4 linked regions of the Alligator mississippiensis genome follow. The protein of the gene in region 3 interacts with the protein of the main gene of each other region in a pairwise test. Links are inferred from orthologs where the notes say so. Each region holds a gene or a part of one and is shown on either strand. Other genes may lie near its edges. The genes, in order: PTPN9, TPD52, MAL2 and ARFIP2.

Region 1 (7,451 bases), on a different chromosome or scaffold from region 3:
GCAGTGACAGGGAGCCTTGTGGGTAGCAGCCATCACTTATTCCTTCCTCCCCATGACTCCACACTGCCAACACCCCCCCCCCCCCCCCCAACTGGGCTCCATACCCTGGATTTCAGTGGTGGCCCCTGCCCTTGAATTCCTGGTCTCCCAAGAGCCTGCAAGCCAGATGATATAGCTCCAGCATGCAGGCCATATGTTTGATACCCCTTCCTAAACACACAACTGTAGTAGAAAATGCATGTGTTTTAGTTTCAGACAGCCTATTTGAATTAATAGGTGGAGATGAAATTTTATCCTGTAAATACCATTGCAGATTGTGTTCCTGATCTCCAGGGAGATACCTCTGTATGTCTCTGAAAAGAAATTGCATCCGGTACAGGACGTGATATACACCCTGACAGCAGGAAGATTCTGTACACACAGCAGGTCTATTTATCTTCTTGCCCCAACTCTACAATACCCCCATTCTTTCCAGAAAATGCTGGTTTCTATGCTGGGAGTTTGGGAGGCTCAAGATCACTTGATTGGAAAGCCATTGTTCGTAAGAGAGATGGGCAACAGTAATGTAATAACTTCACTGGAAATTGCTTGGAAGAGCTTTGGCCTACTATACCCTCTTTCTTCACACACAGCTAGGAAATGACACCCCGGGTGTGTGAACAAATTCAAGTGGCTTGAATGTTCCTCAGATGATTTCACACAGCTGGTTATTATTAGTGTGTGAAGAAATGGGGGGGGTGTGGCTGAACTATTTGCCTTTCTCTTTCCCTTCATAGTGAGAAGGGGGGGAGCATGCAAAGGAGCAAGTTGGCCTGAGACACATGGTTTAAATCAGGTCTGTCCAAGTCATTTGGCCCTGTGTGCTGGATCCAGACCACAAGTCTCAGGGGCCAGATGGTCCATCTCTAACAGCAGGGCAGCAGTGGCTCAGTGTGGCTGTTGGAGTCACTGCATTGGTGCAAGTCTGGCTGCCACTTGCTCTTCCTTTTCCCCTGCTGTTGATTTGGTCACCAACAGTGACCTAAGACCCCAAAGTTAGCCCGGGTCAAGCAGCAGAGTTTTTACCGTAGACTCAAGAGCTGCTCCAGTACAGCAGCTCTGACAACTGCATCAACAAGCCCCGTGGGCTGAACAACTCTGGCTTAAACCAGTGGCAGGTTCTGCATGTTTACAAGAACACTGCTCTCTGTAAGCTGCAGCTTCAGGTGGTAGAATTAGTGTGCTGGGGGCCTTTGCCTTTAAGCTGGGTGATGGAAGGGCCTTTCTTGACCTTTCCTGCCTCAGGCAGGGGGTTAGACTAGATGTGTTCCTGAGGTCCCTTGCAGCCCTACTCTATGATTTCTATGAACAGTTGCCTATTGTATAGCAACAGATAAAAGACCCTAGGTCATTACTGAGTAAGCGAGGGTGCTATTCCGATTGCACTTGGAAGATCTGGATCAGAGTTAGCATCCCTCTGGTAAAGGCTGGGAAAGCTGCAGCTCAGATTGCAATTGGATGTTCTGTCCTTCACAGATCTTTTCAAGGTCCTGCAGTAGAGAGAGGGTAGTGAGCAATGTGGAATACAACGGCAGATAAAAGGGCTGTATTGGCTGTTGTCTCTGATGGAAGAGGGAAAGCAAAGCTCTTTTCATATATTACAAAGAGGCCCCATCCTGATATTGCTGCATAACTCTCTTTAAAAATACCATCCAGGCTCTGAAAATATTGACTTTGCAGTTAAGGTTGGAAGTGAAAGTGTGTGGGGAGTCACTGCAGCCAAAGCAATTTTTTCCATAACTCTTATTTGCTGGGCGTGATAGTCTTATCACTGTGTTCTCAGTCCTCCTCCACACCCAGCATGCACCTGTTCCCACTACCTGTAAGTGGTGACGTGTAAGTGTGTCAGATGCCAACAGTCTGCTCAAGCAAATGCTCAGTAGAGTAGGGATGACCACAGCATAGCCTGTGTAAGTCTACAGAAAGAAAGTTTAGAGCAGGGGTGTTAAACATATGGACTGTGGGCCAGATCCAGCCCCAGGGTGCAGCTGAATGTAATGCCCTAGGTTAGAGGTTTCTTCATCCCCAACATAGTGCTGTAGTCCACAGTTGAGTCCCAGCTTGAAAGTAGAAAGGGCACTGTCAGCTGGGCTCTAGCTTCTACAGGCTTTGCTTCTATATAGAAGACAGGGGTGGTCGCACCTGTGCTCCGTTTTGTCAGTTAGGTGCAAACTCCTTGGTTGCGGGCAAGTTGCCAGGCCAGGCCTCATCAGCTAAATAAAATGTCCACCCCTGACACAGCCATGGAGGCCAGCTTGGATGTGGCTTTTTGACAGTGATGGTTGTTGCAGTGCTTTGACCTGCCCCCAGAGGCAGAGCGTAGTGTTTGTCATGCAATAATGCTCTGAAGAATGTTGTTAAAAAGCCCGTTGGCCTGCAGCTGTTCCCATATCCTTCCAACCATGGCTGCTGTTCATCTACAAGTAGAAACAGCCTCCAAGACTTCTGTTGCTGAGATGGAGACAAATCTTTGGTAAGCAGGGGGCTGAGGGGGGGTTGTGGATACTCTGGCTATGTCGTGATGGGTCCCGAAATTTCTTTCTGTTGTATTATGGAAGAATGGCACAGAAAGCCCACTGATCCCATTCATATTTGTCTCTCTTGTCTTCCTCTAAAACAGTGAGAATATCTGTGTGGGTATATTTGTTTTTATACTATTTATTTATAGAGGTCAAATACATCAATGGCGATGGTTTCCATGAAGTGCCGCCATGAGCCAGGGTGGCTGAAACCTCTGACTAGTGCCCGTTACAGTTCCTGGTCTGCCAGACAGTAGTTTTTATATCACCCAGCCCTGCCTGTGGGCTATAATAATAATTGACCAGGTGAATCACAATAACATTAAGGTGAATGTACCAGAAAAGCAAACATAATGCACAACATAAATCATTACAGGCCAGTGATAGCCATGGCACTCCACACTTAGGGGGAGGCCCCATCTTTGATGTTCAGCTTTTCAGACAGCTTTACTGATTTGGACCGAGAGAGTTCCTATGAGCCCATAATGAACCAGGGGCTTTGGTGTGCTAAACCCAGTAAAAGCAGAACAAAAGGAATGGTCCTTGCCCCAAAGAGCTGACAGTCAAAGTTAAGACAGGAACTGACAATAGGCCATGGGAATATTGACGGTAGTCATAAATCATGGGGAAGGTATAATCTGCATCTATGAGCAACACTTCCCCAAAGGAACAGTCATTCTGTACATCTGAGTTCTCTCTTAATGGCCACATACCAGAGAGGGAGATAATGGTGGATTAGAGAAATCTGTTTGATTCCTGGAGAAGGGTGAGTTGTGCAGTGTGTATTTTTTGCAGGACCTGAACTTGGGGGTTGAAATGATTTTTCTCGCATCAGATCTGAGTCTCTGGATGCACACCATAGCAGTCTACCCTAAACTTGTCTCTGTGGGTGTAGATACAGAGAGGAGGCATTTGATTTTTGACAAGAGAGCGCACATGAGGATGGAGGAAGTGATGTGTTCAGAAGCTGCATTCAAATCTGTATCAGATTACAGAATACAGCCAAGAAGCAGGGACCTATAGCTGAACTGGTGAGCCAGATCTTTGAGCCCAAGGTGACCTTTAGCTGTTTAGTTTCTCAGGACTTTCGCTCCTTGCTCCCCAAAATGCATTTTTTTCACATCACTCAGCTCCACTGGGGGCCCTAATGTAGACAAGGGACTTGCAACTACTAGCATTTTAACCACCATATCCTGGAGATCATCTTTGCATTAGACAGCCTGGTAGGTAAAACACTGACAGCTGCTGGAGCATTGCTTATCCTAGCCCCTGATGCTCAGAGCAGAGTACCCACATTGTATGTACTGAATAGATCCATTGGTTTATCCTGCCCTTAAAAACAAAACAAAACCTACCTCTATGTTGGCAGACATTAGGGGGAGGGTTTTTTTTTTAAGGGCAGGGCAGACTGATGGATCTATTCGGTACATCCAACATGGGTCTGTATTTAAACCCCAAGGCCTTGACCCCAGCGCCAATAGCCTCCTAGAAAGAAGCTGCACCATTCACTGCCCGGCGTCCTGCTCCTCCGCTTGGAGTCGGCGTGGGCGCCCGCGATGTGGGGTGCAGCCCCCGGGCACGGCTTCCCCCGGGCACGGCTTCTCCCGGGCCCGCAGGCCCAGGGCCTGCTCCCCGCTGTGCCGGGACACACGCGGGGCCGCGAGGAAAGCCCTCCTCCTCCCCGCCCTACACCGTGCCCGAGGCTGCAGGCAGGGCGCGGGGGTTCGCCGGGCGCCTCCAGGGCTCCGCGGGCGCAGCCGCAGCCCGGGACAGGACCGGCCTGACCCAGCCCCCGGCCCTGCCGCGCTGTGAATGGAGGCGCGGGGGCTCCGCCCGCCGGCCGGGGGAGGGGAGGGGGCTGTGGCCGCCTCCTCCCAATCTCCCTCGCTCCGCGCCGCCGCCGCCGCTTGCGAGGCTCGGGGAGCGGCGGGGCCATGCGGGCGGCGCGCTGTGGTCGCGGCCCGGGGCGCGCGCGGGCGGCTCCACGTGGGGACTCGGGTGGGCTCTAGCCGTGGCCGGAGCCGGAGCAGCAGCCGCAGCCGGCGGCGCCGGACGAGCGGGAGGCGGCGGCCGGGCCGGGCCGGGCATGGGCAGCGCCGCGCCCCGCTGAGGCTGGGGGAGCGGGATGGCCGCGGAGCTGAGCCCCGAGGAGGAGCAGGTAGGACCCCCCCCGCCGACCCGCACCCCCCCCCCCCCGCGGGAACCCCGAGTCGGCGCGTGCGCACTGTGGCCCTGGCCCGGGGGGGCACCCGCGCCTGCTCCAGTGCGTTTGGTTGGGGCGGTGACGAGACACTTAAGATCGTTTCGTGCTCGGGCGGCTGCGTCCCCGCGCTCCGCTCCCTGCAGCCCCGCGCGAAGAAGAGCGGGCGGGCGCCAAAGATTTCCCCCCCCCCTTTGCATCCTCTGGCTGGCTTGAATGAACCCACCACCCTGAGGCACGATAGCTGGACCTTCCTGCCACCTCATGTGCTCTTACAGGGTCCCCCCAGCACCTGCTGCTTGTCCCTGAGCCTGTCACAGGCCCTACATGTGACCTTGGGGAGGTGACTTTGTGCCTCAGTTTACCCATGTGTCAGACTGGGATCTCTACAGCAGTGACTGGGTTGGGAGCCTGGTGCCTTGTTACAGGTGCCATGTGATGCCACTCCCTGCTTTGAAACACGCTGGGGCAATGATCTTTGTCTGGAATTGTTGCCTTGCTGCTTTTAACCTGCTGCCCCCCTCCCCCCCTTCCTGTTTTGTCCGTTTGGTTCAACTCTCGAAGGCTGGAGTGGAGATTTTTCTGCTTCCCACGCCCTGTCTCTGCCCATGACGTGCGCATCTTCCTGCCACCCTGTTGCGTCAATGCAGGAGGATGTTGTATGCTTGTAGACACAGACCCTCTGCTGTGACTTTGCAGGGCCCGGGGTGCTAACCTCATCCTGGCAGTGACCGGAGAGCTATTAGGGAAGTGTAAAGCCAGCCCTGCTTTTCCCAGGGCCCTGTGCCGACTTTCCTAAGCTGCATCTTTAAGTCTTCTACATCCACGGTTTCTGCCTGCTGTGCCTGGCCCTGCCTCTTTCCCTGCCCTGCTGTACTTGCTGCCTTCTACCTGCTTCTCTCAACTCCTCTCCTATCCTGGCCCTCTCATGGGACTGCCTTCTTTCAGTGCAGGCTGAGACCAGATGGCTTTGAGCAGTTCTCAGACCAGACAAGGAAGTGTCTCTTCTGCTAGTCTCGGGAGTGAGGAAAGGGAAATACTGCTTCCTCTGCTGACATAGAGACCAGAGCTGTTGTGAAAAATCCAGGCCTCCTCCTGGTTCTTGTTTCAGTGGAAATCAAGTCTCAGCCTGGCCCTGGTCTTGCATCTGCAGGCAGATGTTTGTGCTAGGCCGTACCAAAGTCAAGGCCATGGGACTGTTTGTACATTACAGTAGAAAGTTCAGCCTTGCAGTTGGCTCTTGTATGTGAGTAGAGTACAATCTCAGTCTAGAGATTTCAAACAGTAGGGGAAAGAGGCTAGATTGTTTAAATATGATTTTTTCAGACTTGCTTTGCATATTCAGAGTGATTTTCTTCAGTCCACCTGAACACCCTCTAGTGAGCGAGGTGGTATTATCCACGTCTTGCATTAAGACGCAGAAAAGCTTGGTGACTTGCCCTGGCTCCCACAGGAGCAATCCCAGCGCTGGGATTGGAACCCACGCTTTGTACCTTCCAGCCACATGCCCTGACTTCACCTCCATCTCTTCTCTTAGGTCACAAGAGAGGTTTGTAGTAATGAAATTTCAAGATAAGTTTAATCAGATCTCTGGCTTTAGGGCAAGTAATCCTGTCAGGGAGCAATTACCATGTCGCATCCTCAAACTGGTGGTCAGGTGCATTAGGGTGGTTTATTTGGTCTTCCTCTCAATCATCATGTAGTGCTTGCTGTTTCAGACTGACCACTGTTCTGATTTGATATAGCTGATCCTTTGTTCTCTTACTCTGCCGTTGTTTCAGAGTGAAATGCCTGTATAGAGTCCAAGGTGTCTTAAAACTCTCGTGAATGCACGTCTACAGTGCGAGAGTCCTTGGAACAACAGCAGAGAAACTGATGTGGATATTGCCCCTGTGGAAAATCAGAGATTGGATTAAAGTTTAAGAGCATGGCTGTAGATTATTTTGTTAACTTTCAACTCTGCAGTTGTAGACAGAACCTCATCTGCCTTAAGAGTTGCAGGTAAACCTCTTTCATCCCTGTGTCTGAGAAGAGACATCCTAAATGAATGTTGGGTTTAAGGAGCAGAAACTGTTAAAAAAAAATCTGGGCAGTGTTTGTGGGGCAAGGGAACGGGGAAGAAAAAGTGGCTTTTCTTAAGAGGAAAAAAGTAACTCGATAGTTTATATGTAGAATTAAAGCTAAAAGTACAGCCTACTTGTTTATATCTGGGAAGTGATCAGAAGATGCTGGTGTTAGAACAGAGGTCTGGGATTGCCCTGTAGCTGCCTCACATTCCTGCTGCCTGCCCCTGCAGCAATGCAGGCTGCCATTTTGATTCACTTTCCTTCAGCCCATATCATTCTCAAAAAGATCTGCTCTGCTCGCCTTCCACATCGCTCCCAGCAAGCAATTGGCACAGTTTTATTTGACCAATGCTGGCTCCCCCCCCCCCCCCCCCCCCCCCCCCCCCCCCCCCCACTGTTGCTGCTCTTCTCTTCCTTTTCCTGATCAGAACCATACAGGGTGCAGGGATCAGTATATGAAGACAACACGCTTTCTCTTTTCTTACTCTGTTAAAGGAATGGTCAACATGGTCAAACAGTATACTGAGTCACATTGGGGAAGGTGATAGTGGCAGAACATCACCCTTTCTGTATAGAGAACTAAGGCCCTGTCCAGTAGTATAATGTATATGGTTCAGTGTTAGATCC
Region 2 (7,442 bases), about 31 Mb from region 3:
GGTGGCAAGTAGGTCTGAATTCTTTTGATGCAGAAGGAACACATCTGACTTTCCTGAAAGTGCTGCTGTTCTATGACAGGTGACATTCTTGTGTTGCAGTATGGATGAGGAGCAGTAGGGTAACTAAGGATAATAATGAAGGATTTTTCACCAGCCTCTCTATAATACAGTTGGAGTTTTAGCGAATTAGCTTCCCAGTAGCAGGCAAAAAGCTTTTCATTTAAATTGGGTAAACAATGCTGAAATATCACTAGCAAGTGACTGACCCAACCCAGTTCCAACTGTCCATGTTCAAGAATACAGTTTAATTCTTACATATTTAAATACAACTTTATTAAGAGTTTGCAGAGCTATCTAGTCTGCTTATATTTTACAAGTTGGTTACTTCAAGTTTATATACGGAGATCCTGTTAGTTCACCGATGATTAAAAAGTTAGACCAAACTGAAAACCAATGTCCTCGTCAGACTAGAAACAGTCCCTAAAACAAAAATAAAGTTGCTTGCAGAGGAGAAGGATGAGATGAGAGCATTCCTTTAGAAACCTAGTTAATTTTAAAGCCACGTGTCACTTTTAACAAATGAAGTAAATACATTTTGTCAACGCAACTAGACCTGTCAGAAGATAAAAGGAAAAAAACAGGACCAAGTGAGTTAACTACCCAACAGTAAGAGAAGTGAATCTTGTTGAAACTGAGCCAAAAGGGGTCATTCAGCTTGAAACCTATCTCTTCCAATAGCTTGAGAAATCTATTTTTGTTAGCAAGTTAAGAAAATCTACTAATCAAAGCACCGTTAGTGCCAACCAGTTCCAAACCCCACATTCTCAACCATCTTACTATGTTGCCTTTTGGCTTGAAGGTTTCCCTCCCAATTTGTTCTTCATTCCCCCTTCCCCCCCCCAAAAAAAACAGCCCAACCCCCACCCCCACCCAAGACTTAAAAATAGACTGCAAGGTATAAGCTATTTACTTTTGTGACCAAGGAAGCCTAGCCATTTTGTAAGACTTTGTGACTGGGGCTGGGAGGACTCCCCTTTGAGAAGAGGACCCTACAGCCCTCAGTGCCCAGACATAGGAATGCTTTCATAAGAAAGTGAAATCCTATGACAGACACCACTGCTGCCCATCAATCTAAGAATATAGCTGCATCGATGAACCTTAACCAATCCTTCTTCTTTCAACTGCCAAGCAGACAAAGCTGGTAAAGATTTCTACGTATGTGACTGCAGAGGATATTGCTGGTTTAGATTTCATAAACAAAAGCTAGTAGGTTTGAAGAGTTTCCTGTAATGCCAGAGAAAAGTAAAGTTGAGAGAATCTTCTAAGTCTCCTTTCCCTTGTTTTACAGGGGGTGGGATAAATCTGCTGGGCACATCTAGAATGTCTTTGTTCTCACCTTAAATAAATATGAAGGTAGCAAACAGCTGTCTTTTCTCCAGAAGCCACTAAATCTAATATAGCAAACCCAATTCAACATTTGTGTCACTCTCTTCCTCAGCTTTCACTCATTTGTTATATTTCCCTAACTCTCTAGAGTCAAACTTCTTTGGCAGAATGTCTTAAAAACAAACAAAACAAAAAATCCCTCTACCTTGGGTTTCCTCACTGCTAACAATTAGGCACAAGCTGAATCTTGAATCTTGTGGGTGGGAAGGAACGCAGAATCAAGAATAGGTTAGGGAAGTAATAAAAGGTCATTCTTGGGTTGGAGAAACAGTATACAAGTGTTTGAGGTGTGTATATAAATTGGCACTTCCTGACCCTACTTATAAAAACCTATTTACAGTTTAAAACAAGGGTAATATGTAGGCTTCTTCAGTGCTCCATTAGCAGAATTATTCCCCGCCCCAAAATAAATATTCATCCCAAAAGAAACTGCTGTTTATGCCATAAAGTACAGTTAAGTATCTGCATGTACATGAAAGCCTGCCTACTGTATTTAAAAAAAAAAAAAAAACTATGTGGGGATATCATTTAAAGATATTAGGGGCATCTCTGCTGGAACTGAGCAATACTTTGTCACAGGATAAATAGTAACAACTATGAACAGCATTTAAGAGCACAGGTATTTTAAACTGAAGTATGCTTTATTGTGTGTGTGGGGGGGGGGGGGGGATTAGCTACAAAAAAACTGGCTGTTTGTTGATACTTCCTTTCACTCTGGGTTTAATTGCAAAATGGGTTATAAGTGACAAAGGTAATTCCTGGTCTGGAGAAAGTGTTCCCACGTTTGAGATTCAATTTCACCACCTGTTACTTTAGGACAGCCCACACAGCTTTTCTGTATTACCCTTACTTATAAAAACCTGTTTAAAAGTAAGAACTGGAAGTGCCAATTCTCACAGGTATATTAATTTGAGTCATATCATGTACAACAATCAGTTCATCCAAGATTTCCACTCCCCCTCCCCAATCATCCCAGTACCACTTATTCCATCTAAAATAGCAAGCCAAACTGTCCTTATTTATACCACGCAACCCTTTTAGTTTCTGTACTGTTGCTCAAATGTGGTTCAGGACAGAATTTGGCCCAGAAGTTGTTTGCTGTTGCTGCAAATGTAGCAATAATATTTTTTTTGCAGAAAAGTTTTGTTTTTCTTTTAGAAATACAACAAAGTAACAACAAAACAAACAAAAAACAGATTGAGAAGTTACCAGAATTCTTCAATGCAGGTGATTCAGGTGGAGAGACGTTCACGTTTGGTGACAGATAGAGGTAGTTTCTGTTAACTCCAGCATTGAAGTCAAATGGCGATTTATAATCCTCATATGAATCCATATCCTTTCAATCCTTTCCAGTTAGTTCAAACTGCATGGCTTCTTATCTCAGCACCCAGAGAAGCATTCATCCCAATTGTCAGTACATAGCCCCATTCCCTCAAAAATTCAAGCCATATGATTTAGAGATGCTATGCCTTCCAACTCGGCGCTGTCCTCAGACAACTTTTGAGATTTCTTTAATGATTGGGTTCACTACACCCATTTAATAAGTTACTTCTTCCCACGTCGTAGCTGGTACAGTCCACACAGTGCGCAGTTATGTTTCTGTAAATCTATAACCTGGGCTGGGTTTAAAAAAACAGAACGTTCCTTCAACAAACATTTGCTGCATATTGCATGCACAGGCTTCTGGAAGGTCTTGCTCTGCTGCAAAATTACATCAGGAATTTTCAATCACTTAACTGTAAATGTCAGCTGACTGCAGTTGCCTCAGGATATCCTTAATCTTCTAGGACACAAGAAGATTACTAGCCATAATCCACCCTGTGTGCCATCTGTGTTGGCCTTTTTCCTTAATAGAAAAGAGTTCTGAATGTGCAGCTTCCCCATTTCTCTTGCTATTTTTGGTGTGGCAATCGTCAGCCAGAATCCAGGTATTGTTGTTACTAATGAAACATTACGCTTAGTGCAAGCTTAGCAATATTATAATATAGCGCCAGTCTCTAGGGTTTAAAATAAGTAGACTCATTTAAGGAAAGGGCTGTGTACACGCTTGCAACTTTCTCAAGATAAGGTAGGTTGCCCCATCACTTGTATGAATTCTGTTTCTCGGAGCTTTGATAGCTAGGGCAGCAACAAAGCAGCTTCTCTTTTGCCTCCTAAGGCCTGTACCATGACATTCCATAAGTCTGTTACAGAAAGACAGAGTGCTGTAGAAAAGCCCCACTAGCAGTACAACTATCTTCCTCCTTGTTTCAACCATCTTGGCTAGGGACAGATGTTACACATAAACCAGTTTAAGTGATCAGAAACTGGTTTAAACCATAGAACGGAAGCTCAGAGCACATAAACCAGTTTCAAAGTGGCTGAAACTGGCTTAAAGATAAACCTGGTTGAATGCAGTATCAGACTTAACTGATTGGGTCAAACCGCTTTATGGAACTTGTCCCAGACCCCTTCCTGGTTCAAGCTAAATCACAACCCCCCAGCATGCTCTGCAGGTCTGGGCTGGGCTGTCTGCTCCAGCAGAGAAGGATGCAGGGGAGAGGGAGGGTTAAACCCCACTTCTCCTGAGTACAGAGCTGCCTTGCCCTGCTAAACTTACTGGGGGCCCACAACTGTGGACTACAAATCCCAGAGGCACCTGGAAGCAGGAAAAGGAAGTGATGAACAACCCTGCAGAGTTCTGCTTATGTGAGTCTGCACTGGAAATCCCAGAGACATCAGGGGCAGCAGGAAAAGGAAGCGAACACATAGCCCATGCTGGCTATGTGCCAGAAAGCAATGCTCTAGCCTCCCTGGCTTCTGGCCTCAGCTACTGCAGGCATGTGGCTGTATTTCCCGAGTCAAAAGTAAATATCTGTTCAGTTATTTCTCAGTTAAATCTCTGCGGCTTAGACTAACCTGCAAAGACTGAACTGATTCAACCTTGGGCTTTTTGACTATCTGTACTTAGCCCTCATGTCAAGTGTATAAACATGGTATTTACAAGAACATGTGATGGTGGAACCCAAATGCTCTCATTCCACTGGAGTTCTACCAGGCCACTGAAGAACTTTCTTTCTTTCTGAGCAGATTTCTCCCTCAACCAACTAAAGCGCCAGATTCCAATAGCTTCCAGGGACGTAGCATTTCTACAAAGGCCAAATTGTCTTTGGGGAAAGAAACTGCTGCTAAAATTAGAGCCACAGGACCATGGTGAGATTACACAGTAAGGTATAACCCACACTTCTCTGCCAGCGGGAGACAACCATGACTGACTGCCTTCCTCAGAATGAACAGGGATAGCTCTTGGGTGAGTTGAAAAGAAAGCGCTTCCTAAGAGGAACTCTGTGCAAATGGAAAGGGCAGAGTATTTTTTCCACAGAGAAGGGAGGAGAAAAAAAGGAAGGAGACACACATTGTTCCCCTTGGATGAAAGGAATTTCTAGAGAATAAAAGGAAAATACAGTTAAACAAAGCAGGAGAGGAAGGGAGGAATGGAGGGGAGGGTGGGGAAAAGGGAGAAGAGTAGGGGTTAAATGCCTTTGGAGAGTGGAAAGCAAGCAGGGTATTTTTTTGTTAGTTTGTTTTTTACCATTAAGTTTACCATGTCAGAGTTAAGTGCCACACTAAAGACCAAAGAGTTGGGGCAGCTGTTAAGTATATGGCAGGAAGATGCAACTGGAAGCTTTCGCTGCTGATTAAAGTTGGTTGTAGTCAGCACCAGCCAATCCATGGCTTGTAAGCCACATGCTGTTTGTGAAGTAGCTTGATGTGGCTCTTGCAAAGCCAAAGACATTGATCCTTAAAATGCCCTACCACAGCTCTTTTCCTGGATTGGGGAACCACTGGAAGCTATTGGAAGCAGAGATGCAACATGTAGGGTTTCCACCTGGAGTCAGAGATGACCAGATAGGTATGCATACAGGTGCTAGGACATCCACACAAATCGAGCCTGTGGGTCACAGGTTGTAGACCCCCAATTTATACAGATTTGTTTTCACAGCTGTTGACTTGCTGCAGCTCTTTAGTGAGGCTTTTGGGTTCCCATCAACACAGAGCCTGGGGGCCAAAAGGCAGAAATTAGGTCTGCTTAAGCCTTTATCTTGCAGATGTCCTCACAGGTGCTTAAACATTTGCACACTATGTAGCCCCACAAAAGAATTATTATTATTATTGATAAGCGTTATTATGCTGCCTCTTAAAGCCTGGCTAAAGTATAGGCCTCAGAATGAAATCTACTGTTATTGCTCACATCTTAGTCCAACTGTTCAAACAGTGGCTCCTACCCATGAAAAGATTCAACATCCCTCCCGTTTGGTTGTCTGTCCTCTACTACAAAATGACAGTTGAGGGTATCCAGAACTTCACTACATTGATTGCTGGAATCAGTTTTCAGTTATGGCATGGCAAATTTATAAACATTTCTTTGCTTCTCCCTTATCCCCCCCCGCCAGTGAATTTACAGTGCACAATGATATATGTCTTCAGCTGTCATTTTACCACATAAAACCCATAAACCATGGTCCTGTTTGAGCCACCAGACTACCTACTTGTAGGTATGAAAAAAGCATATTCAATCTATTGCACCTCTTATCTGCAGGGCTGTAGCATACTTAGAGAACATTGTTTGGACTTGTGAAATGCAAAACTATATTGCTAAGTTTTCTGATAGGAATATGATGTTGACATTTCAGCAATCATGGGAGAGAGAGGCTGAATGAAGGATGGTTTGAAATATGGAGGAAAGTCAAGTAAAAGTAGTTTTCTAAGGGAAGTTTTAAGCTTATTACATTTGCCTACTTTTATTCTAGATGTCAATCAGTATAAGTCTTCCAACATGCACAGAGAACTGTTCTCCAATATAAACTGTTCTCATCAAAGGAGTACACAGAACTAAAGCAAGATTTCACTAGCATCCTCTGGGTATTTCAGCATGAGGATTCAATAAGAGTTGGTTTTCCCTTGGAGTCCATGACGATTAGGTAGGTCTAAAACAGAAACACACAAGCAAAAAAAAAAAAGTCATGATTTCCCTTGATATAATTTATTGATTATTTTTACTGGTTTATGCTGCCCTTTCCATAGAAAGGGCTCATGGGAGCTTACAGCAGTAAAAACAGAAATTTATTTTAATAATTTGTTTTAATTTTTAAAAGTTGAGTGTCACAAAACAAATTCCCACCCCCCAAAGTAAAGAGCAATCCACTCCACTGGCCTACTCCCACTCCCTGCCTCTGACCTAGAAGAGCATCCCCGCACCCAATGCAACCCAGCCTTCCTTTCCTTACTCCACAAATTCACTACAGGCAACCCCTGCTTAGCGCTCTTAATTGGTTCTGGGAAAACCAAGCGCTAAGCAAAACAGCATTAAGTGAAACCCATTTCCCCACAGGATTTAATGTAAATAAATATAGTTGGTTCCACACAACCTGCAGGCCCAAACCCCATGCTCCTGCTGCCCCGCCTTGGGCCCTACCAGCCAGGGATTTACAGCAAGGAGGCAGCGAGGCTCCAGCCGGCATGGGGGAAGCAGTGGGGCCAGCTGCCTGCCAGCACTCGCACTCCACTCCACCTAGCAGGGGCTCCCTCCAGGACACCCAGCACTGGGACTATCTGCCACTGCCAGATTGCTGCAGGCTCATGAAGGTGTCCATGCCCGTGGACGAGCGAGTGACTGGAACACGGCACGGGTCCAGTCCTGGCCCCACTGCGTCCAGGGATAATGCACACGTGGCCTGCCACTCCCGCCTCCCTGCCAAACCAGGTATGCTCATGCCCCCTGCCCACCTGCCCCTTCTTGCTGCCGCCAACATTCCTGCTGTGCTCCTGCCACCCTGCCCTGGGCACCAGCCCAGGCTCCGCGGTCATACCGCCTTCCTCTCCCCCTTTCTCACCACCGCCACTCCTCCCTGCTCGCTCCAGCACCACGTGCAGGAGCAGATCCCACTCGCCTGCTGCCCTCGCTGGCAGTCACTCGCCATTTCACTTGCTGCCGCCGCTGTTTCTCCCCAGCCCTG
Region 3 (7,796 bases):
TAAAATAAAGCTATCAAACTGGCTGTCAGAAAAATCTCAATATCCTGGTATTTGAATGCTGATTTATGATATCTGCTAGTTTAAATGTGACATTGGTGTACTGTTACCAGTAGATTACTGAAAGAAAAGTCTATGAGGAAGAAACTAAAAGGCTTATTTCTAATCTTACTTCGTGCCTGTTTTATGCTAATTTGATTTCACTGACTTCACTAGAGCTACTCCAGTTATTATCAGAATCATAGTTGGAAGTACAAGACGTATGTGATATGAATCCAAGTTTAAACAAGGCAGTCTAGATCCGCTGAAACTGGCAGCTGGTTTTACATTTTTTGCTATATTAATAATTACCAGATTAAGGAAAGCAAAAAAAAAAAAAGTTCTGCAAGGCTAAAAAGGACCCAAAGAGCTTTCTTGTTATTTTTCTACAGAAAGAGAAAGTAACTGGAGAAGACTGTCCTTATACTTCCGAAAAAAAACCCACATTGAACTCTGCTCTATTTATTTTAATGAAGCAGTGTGCACAAATCTGACTGTGAGCAAATATTGCCAGCATTTGACTCCTAGCGACGACCATGTGGGTGCCTACTTTAAAAAAAGAGAAATACAGATAATATGCCTTATTTCTGGGAGCCCAGTCCTTGGTGGCCTTTGTTTCACCCTGACACTGCAGGATGAAACAAAGAAATCAGAATAGCTATACATAGTCTCCAGTGGTCTTGGGAGAGTTCAGTAATGTTTATAAAAGTTCTTTGAACATGAAATCTGATATATCATTGTTATTACTACCTGCAGATATCTTTAGCTGCAAATCAGGAAACCTTATACCATGTCCAGGTGATAAGGAAATATAATGCAGATTTATGGCACACATAATATTAGCTGTCATATCTCATGATCATTGCATTCACAAGGGAGATATAAAAGCTGCGCTGCTTTTGTCCAGCCCAGTAGGCATTGCCATGTTTCACAGTTAACATGGCAATATTTTGTGGTAAACACTTCAGGGAATTGAGAGGTTTGTGACAAGCTGTCTTCTCTATTAGGGTAGACCATAACAGAGGTGCCTAAAAGATGTGATATGTAATATGTTATGCCTTAAACTTTGCTATGGGCAATGCCACATGTCATAAAGGATTATAGTTTATCTTACGTTTTGCATAAGCCATTTCTGTTTATGTGGTTTGGATCAATGGATCAATATCCTTTCTAAACCTACAAAGCTTACAATTCAGCATTAACTAGCTTCCTACAACACTTCCACAATTCTCTTAGGCTCTCTCACAGCTTGGAAAGACTACAGCAGGCCGAAATGCAAATATTTCAAATATTTACACATATGAAGCGAACTCTACAACATAAACACCTGCTTAAGTCTCTGAATCTAACTGATTAGCATCCTAACATTTAAAATTCTTAAAGGATTCAGACTTTTAAAACAGAACAAAAATCCATTAGAATCTGCAAGCATGTAAACTGTCACAAAAGACCATGTAAAACAGAGGCGAGCAATTATTTCGGGTAGAGGGCCACTTACGAAGTTTTGGTGAACTGTCGAGGGCCACATGGGTAGCCCTGCCCCTTGACAGTTGCCCCACCCCCAGTCAGACACCTGCTCTTGGCTGTGCCAACACACAAATTTTGCATGGCAAAAATCATACCAATCTACCAATACAGAACATGTTACTTATTGGTGACCAAACAGCTTTTTAGAAATAGCTCTGCCTCTGGCATTCTCTCTCAAGCTGCAAGTATTGACAATATCTACTGGTATGACGTTCCATTGGACCAGCTGGTACTTAATACTTCAGTCGAAGTTAGAGCAAAATAAAACTTGAAAGAAGGCAGTAAGCCAAACCCAAAGTTTCACAACTGCCACTAATGACCCAAATTCATCAGGAGCTCTGTGATAGTGTGAAACAGGTCTGCATCAAATTGTGAATTGTTTTTAATTTGAATCTCCTTTTTGCATTAGTGCTGAACATGTCAAAACTTGTTCAAGGCAATTTATTTTAGTGCCCTGTGGACAGTCCCTTTCTAATGAAATATTCTTGACATTTGACATTGGTGAAGGACAGCCACTAACAAGCCAGTCTAAGGCAGCTGATTCTGATTGTCCCTCAACTTTTGGCACCACAAACAATGGGCCTTCTGCACAGAAGCCGGTAGGGTGAGCATCACTGGGTGAAAGGGAAAATTCCCAGTATAACTCATGTTTAGCGACAGGGTCTAACAGAAGGTGTTGTCCTGTAGCAGGTGGGGGAGGGCTAACATGCATCACAGAGAAGAAAAATATGCAGGAAAGGAGAGTGCAAAATGGATTTGATCCAGCCTGAAAAACTGACAAACCACAGATTGGGAGAAAACGTGGTATTAGAGCAGTGGTCTCCAACCTTTTTATGGTGAAGATCACTTTTTGGAACTAAAGGTCACCCCAGGATCTACTGTGTCCCCCTGGCTGCCTTGCCCCCCTGTCCTGCCCTGCCCCGCCCTGCCCCACTTCCCTCCGCCCCCTGCCCCATGCTCCCCTGGACCATGGAGTGTCCCAGATCCAGCTGGGCCTGATCCCCCTTCTGTGCTGCAATTGCACTGAGTTGCACCTGCCCAGCAGCCAGAGAAAGGTGGTGTTGGGCCCTGGCTTGGCTGGGTCTGAAAGTCTCCATGGTCTGGTGGTCACTGGGGGAGGGCATTCTTGCTGCTGGGTGCAGCGTGGCAAAGAACCCAGGGGCCAATGTCCCCCAACCTGCGCTGGGGACAAGGTGGCTGCTGCTGTGGGTTGCCTGCTGCACCCCGAGCACAGGTGGGAGGGGCACGGGCTGTCAGGGCCTCCACCAAGCTGTGCCCAGCGGTGGGAGCACCCCCCACGCACCCTTGGACGACCAGATCTTCCCAGATCTGGCTGGGCCAAGACCACCCCCACGTGAGTCCCTGCTGCTGAGCTGAGCCGCGCCTGCACGTGGCCAGCTGTAGCAGGACTTGAGGCACAGCGGCAGCAACCTCAGCCGCCTCTGCCCCCGCAGAGATGGGGAGGGAGCCCCAAGTGCCACTGGAGGAGCCTCCCTGGGCTCCAATCCTCCCACCACCTGGCCGGACTGGGGCCCCACTAACCTTCCCCTGCTCCTGGCCGGCCACAGTCAGCCGCTCGCCACGGAGACCTCAATCTGGCCCCTGCCCCTTCCCTCCCCCACAGATTGACCTGCTGGGGCTGGGGGCAGTGGGTGTGCACAAGTGCACATGCCCAGCTTTCCCCCCAACCCAGGATCTACCAAAAGAGGCTCTGGGATCTACCTGTACACACAGGGTCTGGACACGCCCAAAAAGTACATCTATAAGCCACGACAGGACTCAGCTGGTCTGAGACTGATACTGTGGGATACATGGCTGCTGGACTATAGAGTCCCATATCCCAGTGAAAGGCTCAGAAGAAAGATTTGACCCTGGGGACATATTGTGTACACAAGAGTTGGAAACAGGGACTAGATTGAGTCCAGACCCAATTGGCTGAAACCCATGTGTGCCCAGTATTTGGGCCCATTTTCAATACATGATCCTACGGAGAGGTACTGGTCCAGGCTGCATCATTCATTACTTCTGAAAAATCATGTGTCGCACCCAAAAAACTTAGGAAAACTTAAAACTTCAGCTCCTGCCACCATGAACATACTGTAACCTCCACTTTTTTTGTTTGTGCTGCTTATTAAAAAGTAGATCACACAGAATGGTCATACAGAAAACGATCTTAGAGAAAAGCCTCTGTAACCAGAAGGTAAATGCCGTCTCCTCCAAAGTTTAAAGTTTCATGATCTATACACGGACCTGGCGTTTTGCAGGGGAACTGACTTGTGACTTCCGAACGCTCGGCTTGGCAATACCATTAGACCTGTGATTCTCACCACCTTTAGACCCGAGACACCCCTGGGTAGACTCAAGGACTCTCAGCGAACACTCTTCTCCCCGCCCTTTCCCTAGCCCCAGTCTCTGTCCCTCACTGCCGCGGGAAGGCATCCCTATCTGTTCCACTGTAAACTAGGTATGCTTTGTGCAAATTCAATGTAGGTGCTGTTCCCCAGGAACCAGAGATGATCCAAGCAGGGTGCGTGGCCCAGGGCAAAACAGCCTGTGCCGGGCCCCGCTCCTGGATGCAAGAAACCAAGCGGAAGATTTGGCAATGGGGGGAAGGGGGTGGAGCTGGCTCTGCAGGGCCCCCCAAAGCACCGGGCCTGTGGCAGTCACCCTGATTTGTGCCCCCCCGTCCAGGGACGGCATCTACGGCATAAATTGAAGGCAACATTATTGTGCCAGTCATCTTCAGGCGATGCTATATGTACCCTGTGTGAAGAGCTCGAAGGCCACCAGGCAGCACAGTAAACACAATGGGGGACAGGGTTTGAACTTGCCCGCAGGGGCACGTGTTGGCACTGCGAGGGCCCCCCTCCGTATAGGCCTGAGGCACGGCGATTTAAATGCATAGCTTTCACAGATTTCATAATAACGCAGCGGGCTGCAACAGCAGCCTCCAAGTCCCCGGAGGGGGCTTGCAAGAGGATGGAGCCGGGCTGCTGCCGGCGGTGCCGAGGGCAGAGCGAGGAGCGAGGGCTCCAGCTGCAGCCAGGGAGGCTGAGGTTGAGGAGGACGGTGGCGAAGCAGGCGGGCGAGCTGTCCGCGCACGGTGCGGGATCGCCGTCCTCGCGGGCTGGAGCCCCGACACCGCCGCGCCGCGTGGGCCGGGCGGGGCCGGGGGCGGGAGCGGGAGCGCCTCCCCCCAGCACCTGCCGGCACCTCCCCCGGCGCCGCCCCGCCCCGTCCTACCTGGGCGCAGCCACGTCCGGGCCGCAGCGGGATGTCGGCCCGCGGGGGAGCCATGCCGCCGCCCCCCAACCCTGCCGCCTACTTCCCGGCGCCGCGGGTCACGCTGCCCTGCGGCCTCGACATCCTGCGCACCTACTCGGGGGCCTTCATCTGCCTCGAGATCGTGAGTCGGGACCGGGACCGGGACTGGGACGGGGGGGAGGCTGCCGCGTCCCGCCACCGCCACCGCCGCGAGCGGCCCCTGCGCACGGGGCCCGGGGCAGGCGGGGGGGACGGACACGCGCGACCGCCCGGGGACACGGCGCGGGCACACGCGTCCACACGGCGGGCGGCACACGGCTGCGTGCGGAGTAGGCGCGCCTACGTGCGGGTGCACGCGCCTCTCTACCTGCGTGGTACACACACACACACACACTCCCGCGCCCTACATACAGAGTGCAGGCAGCTACATGTACACAGCAGGGTGTGTGCACTCCACAAGTATGCGCACCCTTCTACCCACGTGGTTCACACACACACACTTCTACATACAAAATACAGGCACCGACATACAAAGTACACACTCTTCTGTGTATAAATTACACACACCCTTCTACCTACATAGTTCACATGCGCACACTTCTACATACAAAGGGCATGCACCCTTCTGTGTACAATGTATGCGTGCCCTTCTACCTATGTGGTTCTCACACACACACACACACACACAAAATATGCACATCTACATACCGAGTACACGCACCCTTCTGTGTACAAAGTATGCGTGCCCTTCTACCTATGTCATACACACACACACACTCCTACTTACAAGATACAGGCACCTACATACAAAGTACACGCACCCTTCTGTGTACAAAGTATGCATGCCCATCAACCTATGTGGTTCACACACAGACACACACGCACACCTACAAACTGCAGACACCTACATGCAGAGTGCACGCACCCTTCTGTACACAAAGTATGCACAACCTTCTACCTATGTGGTTCTCTCACACACACACACACACACACACACACACACACTTCTACATACAAAGTGCAGGCACCTTTATGCAGAGTGCACGTACCTTTCTGTATACAAAGTATGCATGCCCTTCTACCTACATGGTACGCACGCACACACTTCTACATACGATATGCACATGCACACTTCTATATACAAAGTACAGGCACCTACATACAAAGTACACGTATCCTTCTGTGTACAGAGTATACGCACCCTTCTACCTACATGGTACGCACACACACACACCCTTCTACATACAAAGTAGAGGCAACTACATACAGAGTACATGTACCCTTCTGTACATAGAACACACTGTTCTACCTGTATGGTACACATGCACACACTTCTACATACAAACTGCAGGCACCTACATACAAAGTGCACACACCCTTCTGTACTAAGAACACACTGTTCTACCTATATGGTACACACACTTCTACATACAAACTGCAGGCACCTACATACAAAGTGCACACACCCTTCTGTACTAAGAACACACTGTTCTACCTATATGGTACACACACTTCTACATACAAAATGCAGGCACCTACACATGAAGTGCACGCACCCTTCTACATACAAAGTATGCGTGCCCTTCTATCTATGTGGTACACGTGCACACACTTCTGCATACAAATTACAGGCACCCTTCTGCATACGAAGTATACACACACATACATGTTTCTACATACAAATACACACATATGTGCTTACATTTCCTCAGCCTTCTATCTGCACGCCCAACTTTACCCAAGTGCCCTCACTGAGCTCACTGGGACAGGTCAGGTCCTTAGAATTAAGCTGGAGCAGAAGGGTTTTCAGCTTCGCAGCTGTGATTACTAATTGAGCATGAGAGCCTGGGGAAATGTAGGTTACAAGACTAGAGTCTTACTTACAGCTGCAGATTTGAGTCGACTGGTCTAACCACCAGAGGAGCCCTGTACACACCTGACTTCCACCCTGTGGCTTCTGTATGTGTGCAGTCCTCCATTCTCAGGCAAGTCAGAAATGACCCTGAGTTAGTTAACTCCTTGATGGTTTTGCCAACCAGTGTAATACGAGTGCTGTGCCTTGCTTTAGTTCCACTGGACAGGTGCATTATCAGGGAAATCATTGTCAAAGTAGATACTAAAATTAGTAACCGTGATGCCAATCTCAGGGGTGGGATGCAGTGGAAAGACTGTGTGGCTATTACCCATGAAATACCTGTTTTCTGCAGAAAGGATTTGAGACTCCAGTGCCATGTTACTGTAGAAGGAAGTAGGTTTTCTCACAGCAGATGCATCATGAAAAGAAACTGTTGAAAATAGCTTGAAGGCTGACAGACTAACCTGTGAAATTGTGAATTCAGGCTGCCAGTGCATCTTTACATCAGATGTATTGGATTCATATATGCTGTGTTTTAATACCACAAAGGATTTACCTGTTCTTACTGGAAATTGAGCCAGGCCCAGATTAAAAAAGAAACTAAGCAGGCTTTCCATTGAAGTTCTTGCTATCTGGAAAAAAAAAGGAAAATTGCTTCCAGCTTCATGCCTTGGGAGGTATACACTGGAAATGGCCACTCAGCCTGAATTTGATCACTGTCATTACTGCCCATTGTCTTAAATAAGGTCTTAACTATTAAGCTAAATTAAGCTTTCCATCTTAAAGAGGATATAGGTTGTAGCCATGTTGATCTAAAGACATAGGAACACTTTCCAGTGGCAATGGTGATTTTAATGGGTATCTTTTGTTATAGATGAAGACATATTCATTGTGATCAATCAGTATGCTACAATGACATTTGGGAGGGCTAAATTCTGCTCTTTGTTACATAAGCTTAAGTGCAAAGAACTTGGCCTATCTCTTCCTTTTACTTAGCCTTCCAGATCCAGTCTGCCATCGCTTTTCTAACCTTAAAATATTTTACTTTTCATTTATTGCCTTTTATCCTTTTGTCCAAATGTCATGTGCCTAAAGGAAAATAAGAATAAACTCA
Region 4 (6,835 bases), on a different chromosome or scaffold from region 3:
CCAGCCACGCACCGGTCTCCTGTTGCAGGCTGCTGCAGTCCACCAGGAAGAGGCGGTTGCGGGTGACGACGGCGGGCGGCAGGTCCTGCAGGCGCCGGGCCCAGGCGCGGAGCTGGGCCACGTGCTCGGCGTAGGTGCTGGGCGGCTGGCCCCGCATAACCTCCAGTGCTGTGGGGCTCCAGCCCTGCACGAAGGTGTGCACCTCGGCCACCCAGGCGTGCTCCCGGCACAGCTCCCGCGTCTCGTCCAGCGCCGCCTGTGACCGCAGCCACGGCTCAGCGCGTGGGGCAGGGCCGGTGCTGCCCCAGCTCCCACGCAGGGCACTCTGCCCGGGGTGTCGGGGCTTGGCCAGTGCTACCCCCTCGAAGGGCCTGCCTGGTCCCGATGGGAGGGCCAGGCCCCTGGGGCAGCTCGGGAGCAGCCTGGCGTGGGATGGGTGCCTGGGCTGTGGCTGCCCTGCAAGGGGGCAATGCAGCCCCAAGGGAAGGGGAGCAGCGAGAGTGGCCGCAGCCCAGGGACCATGAGTGCAGGGGGTGGGGGTGCGACCAGGTCCTGGCGATGCAGCCCCACACTCACCGCCAGCTGGGCCTGCTGGGTGGCGCGGGCCCCCTGGATGCGGCTATTGGTGCGCAGGTCCTGCTCCAGCTGTTCCCACGCCGGCTCCGGGTAGTGTCCGTGCACCCGGCGCCCCGTCACCTCCAGGCCCGCGAGGGGCTGCCTCAGGGCTTGCTCTTGTGTGCCCAGCACCTCATCCCACAGACTGGGCAGCAGCTGCACGGGGGTCCCCATGCTGCCCTTCCCCGCCTCCCAGAGGGCTGTGCATGGGGGGCAGTGTGAGCCCCCCGTAGCAGGGACCGGGGTGGCCCCTCTGCTGCAGCTGGGGGCAGGGACAGGACCGGGGCAGGGGAGGACCCCGCTCAGCCCTGGGGCTGCAGCAGGGTGAGGACATGCACCGGTCAGCGGGTCCAGGCCTGGTGCCATCCCGGCCTCCGAGGCACTCGACTCGGGCAGTGACCCCGGCTGCTCCTTTCTGGTCTGGCACACCTGTGGGGAAGCGTGGGCCACAGCGGGTCTCCAGGGCCTCACTGCAGCCCCCGCGGGCTCCTGCCATCCACACGGCTGCCGCAGGCCTGGGGCTGGGCCAGACACGACAGAGCAGCCCAGGGCCAAACGGACAGGCCCTGCAACCAGGGCAAGGCTAGAGCCGGGTGGAGGGCACTGACCTCCAGCACCGACTCCAGCACAGCATCCAGCGCACCCAGTAGGCTGTCCTCCAGCGCCTGGCGCGAGGGGAAGGGCGCCAGCTGGTTGTCGGCATCGAAGACCAGCTGCACCCGCAGCACGGCTTCGCGCCTGGCGCCGTCGGCCTGCGAGGGCAGGGGGGCGGTCAGGGCAGGGACGGCCCCAGAAGCCCAGCCACGGGGACCCAGGCCGGCACCCCCGCCCCGCACCTGCATGACGTGGCTGACGAAAGCGGCGACCTGGTCTTGCACCACGGAGACCAGGCTCTGGGCCACGAGCAGGTTGACAAGCCGGGCCAGGCTGCCCAGTTGCCCCAGCCAGCGCTCGGCCTCCCGGTGCCACCGCTGCATCCCCTCGCTTTGCAGGCGCTGCTGGTGCGCGGACCCCCCAGCCTGGGGGCGCCCGCACACCTGCGTCCCCCTCTGCAGCCCCCGCGCCATCCTGTACGTGTCATTGCGCACCTGCCAAGGTGGCCCCATGTTTGAGGGGCGGGCACTCGCTCCCCCAATGCCCCCCGCTTGCCTGCCCCACTGGACAAGGGGCGGTGCTGCAGGGGGTGCTGCACCCATGGAAGGGGCGTGCCGCGCCATGCCACGCCAAACCGGGCTGCTCGGGTGAGCGGCCGGCCAGGCTGGGCTCACCAGCTCCAGGATGGTGGTGTAGAGGGTAAGGAAGCGGGCCAGCAGGCCACGTGCGTGGCTCTTCTCCTGGACCAGGGCCCGCTGCAGCTCCGGGAAGCTGAAGCTGCGGGTATTGTCCTGGGGCAGCCAATGCACGGACCGCAGCTCCTGCAGCAGCCTGCACGGGTGGGTGGGTGAGCAGATAAGGCTTCAAGTGGGGGGACCCACCCCGCCTGCCATGGGGGACACCCAGCCCCCTGCCAAACCCCAGCCCCCGCATCATCCCCTCCCGCTCAGGCGAGGCCCTGCAGCAAGACCGTGCTCCCCCCAGCTGCCCCGGGCAGGGGGGCAGACCCCGGCCCCACGCGGCCTGCACGGCAGAAGGGCGCTTTGCAGACGGATCCGGAGCCCCGGCGCGCGCACCTGGAGATATGGAGCAGGGCAGCGCCGAAGTGGGGCACGGCCTGGAGCAGGCGGGCGCCCAGGACCGCCTGGCGCTGCTGCATCCGCAGGCACCGGGTGCCGCGCTGCCAGCTGCCGGATGAAGAGACGAGAGCATGGGGCAAGGCCCGGCTTGCACCCCGCCATGCCGTGCCCTGCCCCGGCCCCGACACTCACCGGGCAAAGGCGGCGCGCAGCAGGCAGCGGCGGAAGACGGGGATGCCGCGCAGCAAGCCCCAGAGCACGGCCTCCCGGTGCCACGCGCCCAGCGCCAGCGCCTCGGCCCCCTGCCCCGGCTGCACGTGCAGCACGCCGAAGGGCGAGAAGACGTAGTGCTGCGGGGCCGCCCTCGCCTTGGGCACCGCGGCCAGGCTGTACGGCCTGCGGGCGACAGCACGGCTAGGAGGGGGCGCCCCGGCGAGGGCGGCGTCGTGCCCGTCACCCCGGGGAGCCGTTGGGGGGGGGGTGCAGCCCCCGGGAGCCGTGACCCAGCCCCGCCCGTTACCGGTAGTGGCGGCCAGCGGCGACGTTGAGGTAGGCGACCTCCGTCCTGCCCAGGGGCTTGTCCCGCACCATCGCCTCGGCGGTCTGCACGCCCGTGCGGGGCGGCGCGGCGCGGGGGGAGCCCGGCCGGGGCCTGCAGGGCAGCGCGGCTGTGAGCGCGGGCGCCCCGCGCAGGAGCTGGACACAGGGACCCCCAGGACCCTCCGGGGCGGGGGTGGGGGGCTCACCGCGACGGCCCCGGGCTGCCCGCCCCGTCGGGCGGCTCCATGCGGGCGGATGCGGGGCCGTTAGCGGCGGCGCGGGAGGGGGCGGGGCCAGCGCGAGCCCCGCCCCGTCGAGGCCCCGCCCACACGCCCGCAGCCGACTCGGGGGAGTGGGGGGAAGGGGGACGGTTTATTGCGGCGCCCGCTGCAACACGTTGGTGTCGGTCCCGGTCCCGGTGTCGATCCCGGCGGCGGCCTCGAGGTCGGCGGCGCGGCGCTGCACGAGGGCGGGCATGAGCCGCACGTAGGCGCGCATCAGGCTGTGGTTGGCGCGCACCAGCTTGACCGCGCAGCGCTCCACGCACGAGTCCTGCGGGCAGGAGAGGGGGCGGGGTCAGCGCGAGGGGGCGGGGCCAGCGGGGCGGGGGCGGGGCCGTGCGCCCGCACTCACCTCGGGGTGGGTGAGCGGCCGGCAGTCCATGTCGGCCACGCAGCGCGCGAAGCACAGCTCGGTCATGCGGTTGTAGAGCAGCAGGAAATCCCGCAGCTGCAACGGAGCAAGGGTCGGACCAACGGCTCCCGCCTCCCTTACCCGCCCCATCCTGTCCCCCCTCCACCCCCGGCACTGACACTGCGGAGCTGCTGCTGCTCCGCCGACGGCTCCATGCCCGCGCGCCGCCACTTCCGCCCTCGCTCTGACGCCAACTCCGCCCCTACTTCCGCCCTTCGTCCGCGTCAGGGGGGGACTCCCTTCCGCCCGCGCGCTGGCTTCAGTATGTCGTCACTTCTGTCCGCCTCCCGGCGCCCCCTGCCCGGGCTCTGACGTCTATTCCGCTGTGCGGGGGGGGGCGCCGGAGCCGAGCGGGGATCGGGGCCTCCCGGGGGCACCCGGCGGCGCCGGAGCAGGTGCGGAGCGGCAGCGGGAGCGGGAGCGGGCCCGGGTGGGGGTGGGGACAGGTGCGCAGGGGGCGGGGCCGGCGGGGCGTGGGGGCGGGGCCGGGGACGTGGCCGCGGGCGCGGGGCCAGGATTGGGGCCGGCCGGACGCACCCCCCCGCCCCCCCCAGCCCCAGGATGACGGACGCGCTGCTGGGCAAGGCGGCCACCATGGAGATCCCGATCCACGGCAACGGCGACGCGGGCGGCCTGGCCGAGGACGACGGGCTCGAGCAGGTGCGGGGGGAGGGGAGGGGAGGAGTGGGCCGGGAGGGGCACTGCCGCGGTGGCGCTCACCGCACCCCCCCCCCCCCCCCCCAGGACCTGCAGCAGGTGATGGTGTCGGGGCCCAACCTCAACGAGACCAGCATCGTGTCCGGCGGCTACGGCGGCACGGCCGAGGGCATCATCCCCACGGGCGCCGGCAAAGGTGGGGGCCCGCGGGCGCCGGGGGGTGGGGGTCGAGCTGCCCCGGGGACCCCCGTCAGCCACGCTCTCGCGTCCCCCTCTTCACCCCGCGCTCGCCCCCCCGGCCTGGCCCCCCCTTCCAGGCCGTCCCGCACGGCCTCGCTGGCCCCCGCCACCCTCCGTGTCGCCCAGCGACTCCATCGCCAGCCAGGCCGGCGCGTCCGCAGGTACCGGCCCCCTCCGCCCCCCGCCCCGGACCTCGCCACCCCCCCCGCCCCGGTCCTGCCCCCGCTCACCCCCCCGCCCGCCGCCTTGCAGGCGCCGGCCTGCACCCGCCTCACCCGGGCCCCGCCGCCGCGGGCGAGGAGGTCGTCAGGGGCATCGCCGTGGAGAAGTTCGACATCGTTAAGAAGTGGGGCATCAACACGTACAAGGTGGGTCCCCCCCCTGGGGTGGCCGCGGGGCGGGGGGGGGGCGCCTGTGCGGCAGTGCTGACGCCCCCCGCACCCGCAGTGCACGAAGCAGCTGATCTCGGAGCGGTTCGGGCGCGGGTCGCGCACCGTGGACCTGGAGCTGGAGACGCAGATCGAGCTGCTGCGGGAGACCAAGCGCAAGTACGAGTGCGTGCTGCAGCTGGCGCGCGCCCTCACCAGCCACTTCTACAGCCTGGTGCAGACCCAGCACGCCCTGGGCGACGCCTTCTCCGACCTCAGCCAGAAGTCTCCCGAGCTCCAGGTACGTGGTGGAGCCCGGGGTCCGCGGTCTCCGGGCCCCGCTCCCGTTCCCGCAGCACGGGTGATGGCTGGTGCATGGTGGCGGCTGGGCGGCGTCGGCCTGACCCTGCGCTGTGCCCGCAGGAGGAGTTCGGGTACAACGCGGAGACGCAGAAGCTGCTGTGCAAGAACGGGGAGACGCTGCTCGGCGCCGTCAACTTCTTTGTCTCCAGCATCAACACCCTGGTCAACAAGACCATGGAGGACACGCTCATGACCGTCAAGCAGTACGAGACTGCCAGGTGTGGGAGCCAGGTTTTGGGCTTGGAGAGAGATGGAGGCCAAGGGAGGGGTGTGGGGTGCAGATGTCAGGTGAGGGGCGCAGGGGTAGGAGGGCTGGGATGCTAGGGCATGGAGGGTGCTGGGGCTTGGGCAGGTGGGGACGCTCTCTCTGACCCCGGTCTCGCCCCTATCGGCAGACTGGAGTATGACGCGTACCGCACGGACCTGGAGGAGCTGAGCCTGGGCCCGCGGGACGCCAGCACGCTCTGCCGCCTGGATGTCGCCCAGAGCCAATTCCAGAGCCACAAGGACAAGTACGAGAAGCTGCGTGCGGACGTGGCCATCAAGCTCAAGTTCCTGGAGGAGAACAAGGTCTGGCAGGGGGTGGGAGGGTCTGTTCACAGCCCCCGGAGCTGGGCTAGGGGCAGCGCTGGGGGGTGGCCACGGGACACGGCAATAGCTGGGCGTTGGGTGTGGCGGAGCCTGGATGCCGTGTGCAAGGGTAGGTGGGACGGCAGGAGAGACCTCCCTGGCATCAGCGAGGTGTGGGACGCGCCTAGGGTGGGGATGGTCTTCGGTGGGGGGGGTCCCAGCACAGACTGCACAGGCGCTGGGAAGGGGGCATTGAGCTGCAGCGACGCCTGGAGCGTGCGGTGAAAAGAGGCAGCGGGACGCCCCAGAGCAGCCCCCACCCTGAGCGCCCTTGGACCTCCCAAGGACCCTGTGCCCAGAGCAGGGGCAGGAGGAGGCAGAGCTGCACCCGGCCGGATCGTGGCAGGAGACGCACCCGTGGGGGGACACAGCTGGGCGCTCGGGCTGTGCAGTGTGGGGTGGTGCGGGTCCTACTGGCTGGCCCCAGGGTGTAGAGCGGAGGCAGCGGGTGTTTCCCAACCTCCGGGCTTTGCTGCTGCCCCGTGGGGTTGGGTGGGAATTGTTTCCACCTCTTGCTCCTGGGGTCAGGGGTTTTCTCCCCTTCCTCAGCAGCAATGGGTGCTGATGCAGCCCAGGCTACGGATGGGGACTGGACTGTGTCGATGCTTCTGCCAGGACCAGCCCTGCAGGGCCTTGCCACGCTGCACTGGGGGCAGGCAGGGGTTTCTCCCGGTCAGCTCAGGAATAGCCCAGAGGTGGCCGGGCAGCGCTGATCTGCCCAGATCAGGGGCCAGGCCCTCGACCCTGCGCTAGGCGGCTGTGGGGGGGCTGTGGGGCTGACCCCTGCCCCCCTCGCCCCCAGATCAAGGTGATGCACAAGCAGCTGCTGCTTTTCCACAACGCCATCTCCGCCTACTTCGCTGGCAACCAGCAGCAGCTGGCGCAGAGCCTCAAGCAGTTCAACATCAAGCTCAAGACCCCGGGAGCGGAGAAGCCCTCGTGGCTGGAGGAGCAGTGAGCACCCGCCTGCCGGCCGGGCCGCCATGGACCTGAACTCTGACCTCTGGCCCCAGGCCAGGCAGGCTGGGCGTGGTGGTGAACATGGGGGACGTGGCC

What was found.
Region 1: the proteins of MAL2 (region 3) and PTPN9 interact in binary tests that used the Homo sapiens proteins (3 or more experiments, as listed by UniProt). The two-hybrid records come from large-scale screens. The link is inferred for Alligator mississippiensis from reciprocal best matches to the Homo sapiens genes MAL2 and PTPN9.
Region 2: the proteins of MAL2 (region 3) and TPD52 interact in a two-hybrid assay, tested with the Homo sapiens proteins (2 studies listed by BioGRID and IntAct). The link is inferred for Alligator mississippiensis from reciprocal best matches to the Homo sapiens genes MAL2 and TPD52.
Region 4: the proteins of MAL2 (region 3) and ARFIP2 interact in binary tests that used the Homo sapiens proteins (3 or more experiments, as listed by UniProt). The two-hybrid records come from large-scale screens. The link is inferred for Alligator mississippiensis from reciprocal best matches to the Homo sapiens genes MAL2 and ARFIP2.

Annotation. Positions count from the first base shown.
Region 1 is NC_081834.1:28,032,298-28,039,748, reverse strand, and holds the start of PTPN9 (tyrosine-protein phosphatase non-receptor type 9), read left to right. Parts: upstream 1-4,451; 5' UTR 4,452-4,683; coding exon 4,684-4,716; intron 4,717-7,451. UniProt on the Homo sapiens protein: Protein-tyrosine phosphatase that could participate in the transfer of hydrophobic ligands or in functions of the Golgi apparatus.
Region 2 is NC_081826.1:54,103,378-54,110,819, reverse strand, and holds the start of TPD52 (tumor protein D52), read right to left. Parts: upstream 3,019-7,442; 5' UTR 2,780-3,018; coding exon 2,656-2,779; intron 1-2,655.
Region 3 is NC_081826.1:23,438,646-23,446,441, reverse strand, and holds the start of MAL2 (protein MAL2), read left to right. Parts: upstream 1-4,789; 5' UTR 4,790-4,837; coding exon 4,838-4,969; intron 4,970-7,796. UniProt on the Homo sapiens protein: Member of the machinery of polarized transport. Required for the indirect transcytotic route at the step of the egress of the transcytosing cargo from perinuclear endosomes in order for it to travel to the apical surface via a raft-dependent pathway.
Region 4 is NC_081824.1:483,430,571-483,437,405, reverse strand, and holds the start of ARFIP2 (arfaptin-2), read left to right. Parts: upstream 1-3,826; 5' UTR 3,827-3,916; intron 3,917-4,075; 5' UTR 4,076-4,082; coding exon 4,083-4,181; intron 4,182-4,265; coding exon 4,266-4,374; intron 4,375-4,670; coding exon 4,671-4,786; intron 4,787-4,865; coding exon 4,866-5,087; intron 5,088-5,209; coding exon 5,210-5,367; intron 5,368-5,544; coding exon 5,545-5,719; intron 5,720-6,581; coding exon 6,582-6,737; 3' UTR 6,738-6,835. Other genes in the region: DNHD1 (dynein heavy chain domain-containing protein 1), read right to left, coding at 13-256, 577-1,044, 1,224-2,040, 2,286-2,396, 2,481-2,684, 2,809-2,940, 3,035-3,075; TIMM10B (mitochondrial import inner membrane translocase subunit Tim10 B), read right to left, coding at 3,201-3,380, 3,462-3,557, 3,641-3,676. UniProt on the Homo sapiens protein: Plays a role in constitutive metalloproteinase (MMP) secretion from the trans Golgi network. May have important functions during vesicle biogenesis at certain cargo subdomains, which could be predominantly utilized by secreted MMPs, such as MMP7 and MMP2.